2 linked regions of the Oryzias latipes genome follow. The protein of the gene in region 1 binds, or shares a complex with, the protein of each later gene. Links are inferred from orthologs where the notes say so. Each region holds a gene or a part of one and is shown in the gene's direction. Other genes may lie near its edges.

Region 1 (4,545 bases):
TGAATATGGTGTTAGATTGTCGACTGGATAGATGGCCACTACAAACTAATAATCCTAATGCTGAACTACTTTAATTTATACAAAGTTTTCATTTAAAAGATCCTTGGAGAGAAGAATCCAAACAAGATCAAGTTTTACATGGAGCAACAAAAGTATCTCCCGGCAGTCACATATTAGCCATATACTGGCTTGTTTTTGATCGTCTAGATACAGATGATATTAATATTAACATTTTTTTTTTAAAGATGGCAGTCAAATTCCCCGAGCCCTAAATCTAGTAAAAGATTTTTCTAATGGCCCTGCACTTCATCTTAACATCAAAAATGTGAAGAACTACCTATCAAATTTGACAAAACACGATCCATATGTAAAATTCCCATCACATACATGTAACACACCTAGGGATTACTATCACCAAAAATTATGGAAACTGTGTGTTGGCTCTCCAGCAGCAGCAGTTGTCTCTCTTGCCGCTCGGGAACTCTCTCCCGACGCCAAAGCCGTTAAAGACATCCCTGTTACACACAACCGTGTTTGCTTCTTAACTCTTAAATAATGGACACAGGAGACATTTCATTCTGAACCTGAAGTGCAGCTCCCCACTCACTTCGTCTTGACTATGATGAGAGGCTGCGCCTTCCTTTTTATTTTCAACTGCACGTAAAAAAAATTGGCGCATGCTTACGTAATAACATAATCAGACAGAGATCGTCTATGGTGACAGACATTGTACTCCAACACTGTGTAACATACCTAGGGATTACCATCACCTAAAACGAACATAAGAGAAGTTCTTCAAATTTCAGTCCCTAGTAAAACGTTTTAACTTATGGGTTTTAATTTAGGTCTCTTACCTGAGCCTAAAAGGCAGAGTACTGCTATCTCTACCTTCTCTTAACTCTCTCTCTCTCCCTCTCCCTCTCTATCTATCTATTTAAATAAAACAAATGTGAACGATTATTTGGTAGGAATAATTCATATACCATTTCCACCTGCTGGACTGGAGAGAAACTGAAGAAAACTACATCACCCAAGATGCAGTTCACCGGAAAATACGACTAAAAAATACTTCAAGCTAATGGCTCGCAGCACTATCCCATTCAGGGTCTTATTTCTTTCTCAGTCCTGGAAATATTATCTTTTGTAACTCTTTGGTTCGATTGATAAGTTATACGTTCATTTAATCTATTTGGATAATTATTTTTAAAAAGATGATTGATGTTTTGACGAGTTTCCCGGTTTTGTAGCTTATTTTTAAGCTAGGCTAACTTGATGCTAACCGCGTTATAGGATCTCAATCGAGATGACTTCTGGGCCACCGTCCTCCACTCTGCGTCTTCAAAGATGAATAAGCGGGTAAGAGCGCCGCTATAGTTATACAGAAAGACTTATCAGGGACCCCGGTCAATCTCTGCATCCGATCGAACTGTGGCGGGGAAACGATGACTCTGGCTCCAAAGGAACTGTCCAACCTGCTGAGCATAATCTCGGATGAGGCCTGCAACAACAGCTTCGAGACCCTCTCCACTCATTTCCATCATTACTTTGGGAAGGCGGACCACTTCAAGGTGGGTTCGGTTCTGGTCATGCTGCTGCAGCAGCCGGACCTGCTGCCCAGCTCTCCGCAGCGGCTCACAGCCCTCTATCTGCTCTGGGAGATGTACCGAACCGAGCCGTTGGCCGCGAACCCGTTCGCCGCCGTGTTCGCGCACCTGCTAAACCCAGCACCTTCCGGGGATGAGCAGGAGAAAGCCCTGTCCGGTAGGGCCGCTTCCTTTCACCTTTAGCCCGACGTCTCATCAGAACCGCAGCCGCTCAGTCTCTGTTTCGTTGGGTCCAGGCTTCCTTCCTCCCATCACGCAGCCGGAGAAGTTCTTCCTGTCCCAGCTGATGCTGGCTCCGCCCAGAGACCTCTTCAAAAAGACCCCCAGACAGGTGTCCTGCATGGACGTGAGCAACATGCCCCCATCTATAGACATCAGCGGGCTGCAGCTTCCTTTAGCAGGTCAGTGAAGGTTGTAAGGAAACATCTCATCACAGGTGAAGACGCCGTCAATCCCAGCCCTCTTTTTGCAGAGCGCCAGTCAGAGCTGCCCACCCAGAGCAAAGCCAGCTTCCCCAGCATCCTCAACGACCCCGATCCAGACTCCTCCAACTCAGGCTTCGACAGCTCTGTGGCCAATCAGATCATTGAGTCTCTGGTCACAGGGCTGCGTCCTCCTCTGGAGAGTAAGTGCTTTTTTTCACACAAGCTGTGATCACATCTGTGGAAGAAAGAAGGAATCTCCTCAGAAAAGATGGTAGCCGTCTCCTCAGCAAAAACTCACGGTTACAGGTTGATCGGCGCCGACCTGATCTGTTGAGTGCGATTGATCTTTAACTGATACTTTAAAAAAAAAAGTGTTTGAGTGACTGTCTAGAAGGTTTTTGCTGAAGTTATGTCATTTTTCAGTAGTTTTATATTAAAGTATTTAGACTTTGTTCAAAGGCCGTCTGTCTGAAGGTGTTGCTATGAGGCATGGTAAGTACCAGTTTCTCAAAACCCTCCCAGGTCATTTTCGACCCGAGTTCATCCGGCCGACGCCTCCGCTCCACACATGCGAAGATGAGCTGGCGTGGCTGAACCCCACCGAGCCGGACCACTGCATCCAGTGGGATCGGTCAATGTGTGTGAAGAACAGCACCGGCGTGGAGATCAAACGCATCATGGCCAAGGCCTTCAAGAGTCCGCTGTCGGCTCAGCAGCAGTCCCAGGTAGGTCTGATGCTGATCAACAACATGTTTGGTTTACACAAAGGCAAAGTCAGGGTTAAAATAAAAACTTTATTTAAAATAGGAACTCCTGTTCTTTGCAAAGAAACAAAAACTTAACTTCAGATCTGCTCTTTTTTCATTTTTAAATCAAGATTTATCAAAACAAAAACACAATTTGTGGGAAAAGTATTTGTTTCTTTTTTAACCTTTGTCTTCCTGGATTAGTTTTCTGGTGGTCTTAAAAAAAATCAACCTTTATTTTTCCCTTCACTCAAAAACTTTATCGTCCGTTCCCTAAAAGACAAATTATTTCTTGTGGAGGCGTTGACTCCTACTGCTGTGCACCGCTGTCACTCCTCTGTATTGACCTCGCCGTGTGTGCAGCTGCTGGCTGAGTTGGAGAAAGACCCAAAGCTGGTGTATCACATCGGCCTGACGCCTGTGAAGCTGCCTGAGCTGGTGGAGAACAACCCACTGGTGGCCATCGAGATGCTGCTAAAACTGATGCAGAGCAGCCAGATCACAGAGTATTTCTCAGTGCTCGTCAACATGGACATGTCGCTGCACTCCATGGAGGTGGTAAACAGGTGGGGGCGGGGCTTTGGCTGTATTCAGACCTGTTAACGAATCTCCAGTTGGGTTCCAGTTTGGTGCTGTTTCTGTAGTTTGGAAGTGATGGAGTTGTTTGCTCTCCTCCGTCAGGTTAACCACAGCTGTGGATCTGCCTCCAGAATTCATCCACCTCTACATCTCCAACTGCATCTCCACGTGTGAGCAGATCAAAGACAAATACATGCAGGTCAACACGCGTTCTTGGAACTGTGAACTGCTGAAGAGAGCTCAAGAGTTTTCCTCTGGAATAAAAACCCGCTTGATTCTTGCAGAACCGCCTGGTCCGGCTGGTGTGCGTCTTCCTGCAGTCGCTGATCCGAAACAAGATCATCAACGTCCAGGACCTGTTCATCGAGGTGCAGGCCTTCTGCATAGAGTTCAGCCGCATCCGTGAAGCGGCCGGCCTCTTCCGCCTTCTGAAGACCCTGGACACTGGGGAGAACCCGGCCGAGGCCAAGCCCATCAAATGAGCAGGAGTCCTGACATCAGAGGGAGCAGGGAGCCGTACAGCTCAGTCATGAGAGGACGTGCTGTAAATATGCAGCTCTGCGGAGGATCTTTGTCACTGACTCATCAATTTTTTCTTTATTAAACCCTCGAGTTTGTATTATTTTCGATGTCATTTCCTGAGTGATCAAATGTTGCATTAAGTCAAAGCTGCAGAAATTCCATAAGCTGCTATCACTTCGGCAGATTTACTGGAGCTCAGTGAAACATTTGAACTCAAAAGTGTTTTACTCCTTATTTTGTCTCCATAAAATTGTTGAGTGTTTGGTTCTTGTGTGCAGAGTTGTATGTTTGCAAAGCGTGACACAAGTTCTGACCGTTTTCTTCTGCTCCCAGTTTTCTAGCTTTTAAAAATGTTGAGGGTAAAGTTTTGCTGCAAATGCTTAAATCATTTAAAAAGGGTTTCAGATGTCGAAATAAAAAAACTCAGATTTTAGGATGACAAAAAGACCGACTGTTCTTCCCTAATCCCTATCTAGGGGCAGCAACGTCATACAGTCTGTGAGCAGAAAATGACAGTAAGGTCAGTTCACCAAATAACCACTATGTTTTGCAGACTCAAAATGATGGAAACTGGTCCAATTTCCCAACAAAAACTGAACCCAAAACTGTGGTGTCTGGGTATGAGGGTATAAGATCTTAAACCTGACATCAAACTTTCATCCAAATGAA
Region 2 (3,814 bases), on another chromosome or scaffold:
AGTGGCTCCTAAATGGTTCTTAGTGGGCATTCAAGCGTTGAAATCCCCAATGTTCTGTTAATGATTGTTTTTTTATTTTTTTTGTTTCTGATGAAATATTTATTCACCAGGAAACCCACTTGCACAAGAAATAATGAGCCTCTACCAGGAACCCGATGGCACACGAAGACTGCTCAGCTACTTGTTAGACAATCTGGCAGGTGCTATTAAACGCAGTAAGTAGCAATCATCCACTTTACTGCAATCTGTCCTTATCCAGCATAGCAAAATAATGACTGCATGCTGTCTGGTTGGGACATTTGTTACTGTGCTAGTGGTGTTTGTGCGGAAATTGTGCCTCATTGAAAAAAGAAAAACAAAAAAACTATATATATTTATTTTTAATTTTAATTTTTGCAGTACCAACAGAGCAGCCTCCAGCCCGGTCATGGATCTCACTCCAGGAACCTGAACGAACGCGCTCCTCAGGTGCAGATGACACACAAACTTCACTTTTTAGATTATTCCTCACTGTCAGGCAGCTGTTTATCCAGTAACATCTGTATTTCAGCCTGCAGTCTATCCAATGTGTGTATTTTATTAGTGAGAAGGAGCAGTAAAAAGAAAAGTGAAGGTGTTGTGGTCTCATTTTTAAGATTGGAGCTATAGCTCCAGTGTTTACATTCTTTCCATTACTGTAACTCTTTAACAGATTTGGAAGCAGAGAACAGAAGCCATGCACTGATAGGCAACACTGCACAGCACTGAAGTGATTACACAATCAGTGTAAATTAAAGCCACTTTACTTTAATACTGTGTTGCATATCGGTGCAAAGCTGATATGAAAAGTTGCTTTTCTCTAAGTCAGAATCAGCTGAGTCATGTTTAAAACACACAGTTGTGCTATTCCAGTCCTGAGAGTGTCACTTCATATTTCACCAAATTCGTGTTGAAATTTGGTGATCACAACTCACACAAGTGTTAAAGTCTTAGAGCCTTGACAAATTTTGGGGAATTTCAGTGTTTGCAGTTCTACTTTGATCTTGTTAGTTTCTGTTTTGATGCTCTCCTCCTTTTTAGCAGCTGTAGAGACGAATGAAGAACCATGTTATTGTGGTTCTACCTTCTGCTGGACACAGTAAAAAGTTGTTTTTTGGCATAAATGCCAAAGGCGATTTTTAAAGCCTCTTAATGTATGAATTGTATTTTAGATGATGAGCATTTTGGAGTTTTTATCCGGCACTTACTTGAATTTTTGTCTTCTTTTCCGGCCCCAGCTTTGTTCTCTGTGATGTGCTACAATGTGCTGTGCGATAAGTACGCCACCCGACAGCTGTACGGCTACTGCCCCTCCTGGGCTCTAAACTGGGAGTACAGGAAGAAATCCATCATACAGGAAATTATGGGCTGCAACTCAGACATCATCAGCTTGCAGGTGAGAACCAACAAAGTATCTGCTGAGGTTTTGCTTTGATCCAAAAAGAACAGCAGTTTTTCTGCTAAAATAATCAACCATAAGTCTCTGCTCAATTTAAAAATAACAATGCATCTTTAATAAAAGTGTCTAAAGTTGATCAGAAAAGGTTTAAGTGACCAACGTTTAAAGCCTTTTTTCAGAAACATGCATTTATGTTTAAGATATTTTATTTCTACACATTTCTTTTTGTTATCTGACTAATTTAGTCAAATCGATCGGGTTTTCAAATATAAAGAAGTCCAGATTGATGTCAAATTATTCTGGATTGAACTTTAGAAAAAGTTCAAACCTGGTTAGCATTTTCCATATTAGCCACAGTCTGTTTATTTCTTTTATTAAATATTCATCTTGAAGGAGATTTTTATTTTTGTGTTGATTTTTTAGGAAGTTGAGACGGAGCAATACTACAACTTCTTCTTGCCTGAGCTGAAAGATCAAGGATATGACGGGTTCTTCAGTCCAAAATCCCGAGCGCGAACGATGTCGGAGTCGGACCGTAAACATGTGGACGGCTGTGCTATTTTTTACAAAACAGAGAAGTAAGTTGCATCATAAATGTAGGATTTATAACATAAACTGAAAGCACACTTCTCTTTGCAATGTGAAGAAATAGCGCTGCTTTCATGTGTCCCCCCCCCCCAGCGTTTCCTCCCTTTTGTCCCTCTTGTGCTTCATAATTCCTGCTTGTAACATTCATGTTGTCTCAGAACAGTAAATCTGTGGCACCAGTGGGCCTTCTGTAAAGAGTGACACCCCCCCCCCCCCCCCCACCGCTCCGCGCCAGAATGCCTTTACTTTGTATCCGCCTGTTTTCCCTTAATAAGCTCAAACTTCAGAGATGTTTTCTTATTGGAATGCTAACTCTGTCTGTTTATAATTATTGGATGTTTTTAGATGCACTTCAGTCTTAAAAACAGGACAAATGTAGCTTACTTTACTTCTGTTACTTTATTTGAAAAAATCTTTAAATCTGCACATTTTGAATCTGTTTTTTTTTTTCCTTTTAAAAGAAATGCCTAATGGAGTCAAATGTGTTTGACTCTTTGGCTAGAGGAAATAGTTTGTGTTCCAGTGAATGCGTTCTATAGCCTCGGGTGTTGTTTATACAGTGTTTGGAGTTTAAGTAGAAATATTAATGTCTTTCTTCTCATTTTTTAGTTTATTTGACAGGGAACAGAGCATTACTCAAAGAAAAGAGGCTTTGCACCAGACTGTAGGTCTTAGAGCTCACTTCCATCTGAAGTTCCTCCACACTTACTTTGATGAGGAAATGCAGCGTTAGTCATTTGCCACAGTTTTAGACCAATTTTTTAAAACATAAATTTACTTGTTTATCGGCGTGGTTATTTAATAGTTTTTTACTGTTTTGACTGTCCTAACTTGGGTACATAACTTGAAAGGGGTCATGTGGAATTAATAGTGTTTTTAACTGCTTGCAAAGATTTAGTCATCATCACCTGTTGTCACTTTGCAGCTGAAATCTGTGTTTTTTTGTCCTCAATTTGAAGTCTTTCTTTAAGAATGTTCTTTCGACTCTGATTTCTACCCACAAAATGGGTTTTAACTTTCATTGCCTTTGTTCTGGCTTCCTCTCCAGATTCAGCGCCGTGCAAAAACACACGGTAGAGTTCAACCAGCTGGCCATGGCTAACTCCGAGGGCTCAGAGGCCATGCTCAACAGGGTGATGACAAAGGACAACATTGGAGTCGCTGTACTGCTCGAAGTCCGCAAAGAGATGATGGAGCTCTCATGTGAGCCACTGATACTTTTTTCTTCTTCTGATTAGCCGCGTTTACATGGGCAAAAGTAATCGGAATGAACGTCTGATCGGAAAGAAAATGTGTCATGTAAACGCCCCGTTCGGAATACTCTGCCCCGATCAGACTCATTCGGATCAGAATTTCTTTCCGATTGAGATAGGTGGGTTATACCGATCGTTTATCCGATCGTGGAGCATGTAAACGGTCATTCCGATCGTGTGTCACTACTGCTCTGGTTTACGTCACGCATAGACGGTGTTTGGCTGTGAGAAAGCTCATACAGGACCGTCCAGCTCTGCGGACGCCCCGTGAAAAGCGCCGCTCCGCTCTCGCCCCGCTGGCTCTCCCCTCTCTTACACCCCTTACGAAGGGAATGCGGGGAAGGGGCGCTTCGTACCCCCCGACGCTCACTCGGTCCACTGGCACCCGAGTGAACAGAGGAGCTGGATTAATAATTTTGTGTCCGAGGGGGGAGGATGCTTTGTTACGTGTGCGTTTTGTTATGTGTGGGAGAATCCAGACTGCGAGCCGCGCCGCCGCTCTGGTTAGCGGCTGCAGGACTCAGGAGGAACCGTGTTCGAACAGACTGAGCTCCGG

Evidence for each region.
Region 2: cnot11 (region 1) and CCR4-NOT transcription complex subunit 6 share a complex: the UniProt entries of both Homo sapiens proteins name them as parts of the CCR4-NOT complex. The link is inferred for Oryzias latipes from reciprocal best matches to the Homo sapiens genes CNOT11 and CNOT6.

What each region holds. Positions count from the first base shown.
Region 1 is NC_019879.2:14,490,670-14,495,214, forward strand, and holds cnot11 (CCR4-NOT transcription complex subunit 11), read left to right. Parts: upstream 1-1,442; coding exon 1,443-1,761; intron 1,762-1,840; coding exon 1,841-2,005; intron 2,006-2,076; coding exon 2,077-2,229; intron 2,230-2,551; coding exon 2,552-2,754; intron 2,755-3,138; coding exon 3,139-3,341; intron 3,342-3,456; coding exon 3,457-3,553; intron 3,554-3,638; coding exon 3,639-3,836; 3' UTR 3,837-4,143; downstream 4,144-4,545. UniProt on the Homo sapiens protein: Component of the CCR4-NOT complex which is one of the major cellular mRNA deadenylases and is linked to various cellular processes including bulk mRNA degradation, miRNA-mediated repression, translational repression during translational initiation and general transcription regulation.
Region 2 is NC_019868.2:16,548,653-16,552,466, forward strand, and holds part of CCR4-NOT transcription complex subunit 6, read left to right. Parts: intron 1-110; coding exon 111-215; intron 216-399; coding exon 400-468; intron 469-1,256; coding exon 1,257-1,414; intron 1,415-1,840; coding exon 1,841-1,995; intron 1,996-3,053; coding exon 3,054-3,208; intron 3,209-3,814. UniProt on the Homo sapiens protein: Poly(A) nuclease with 3'-5' RNase activity.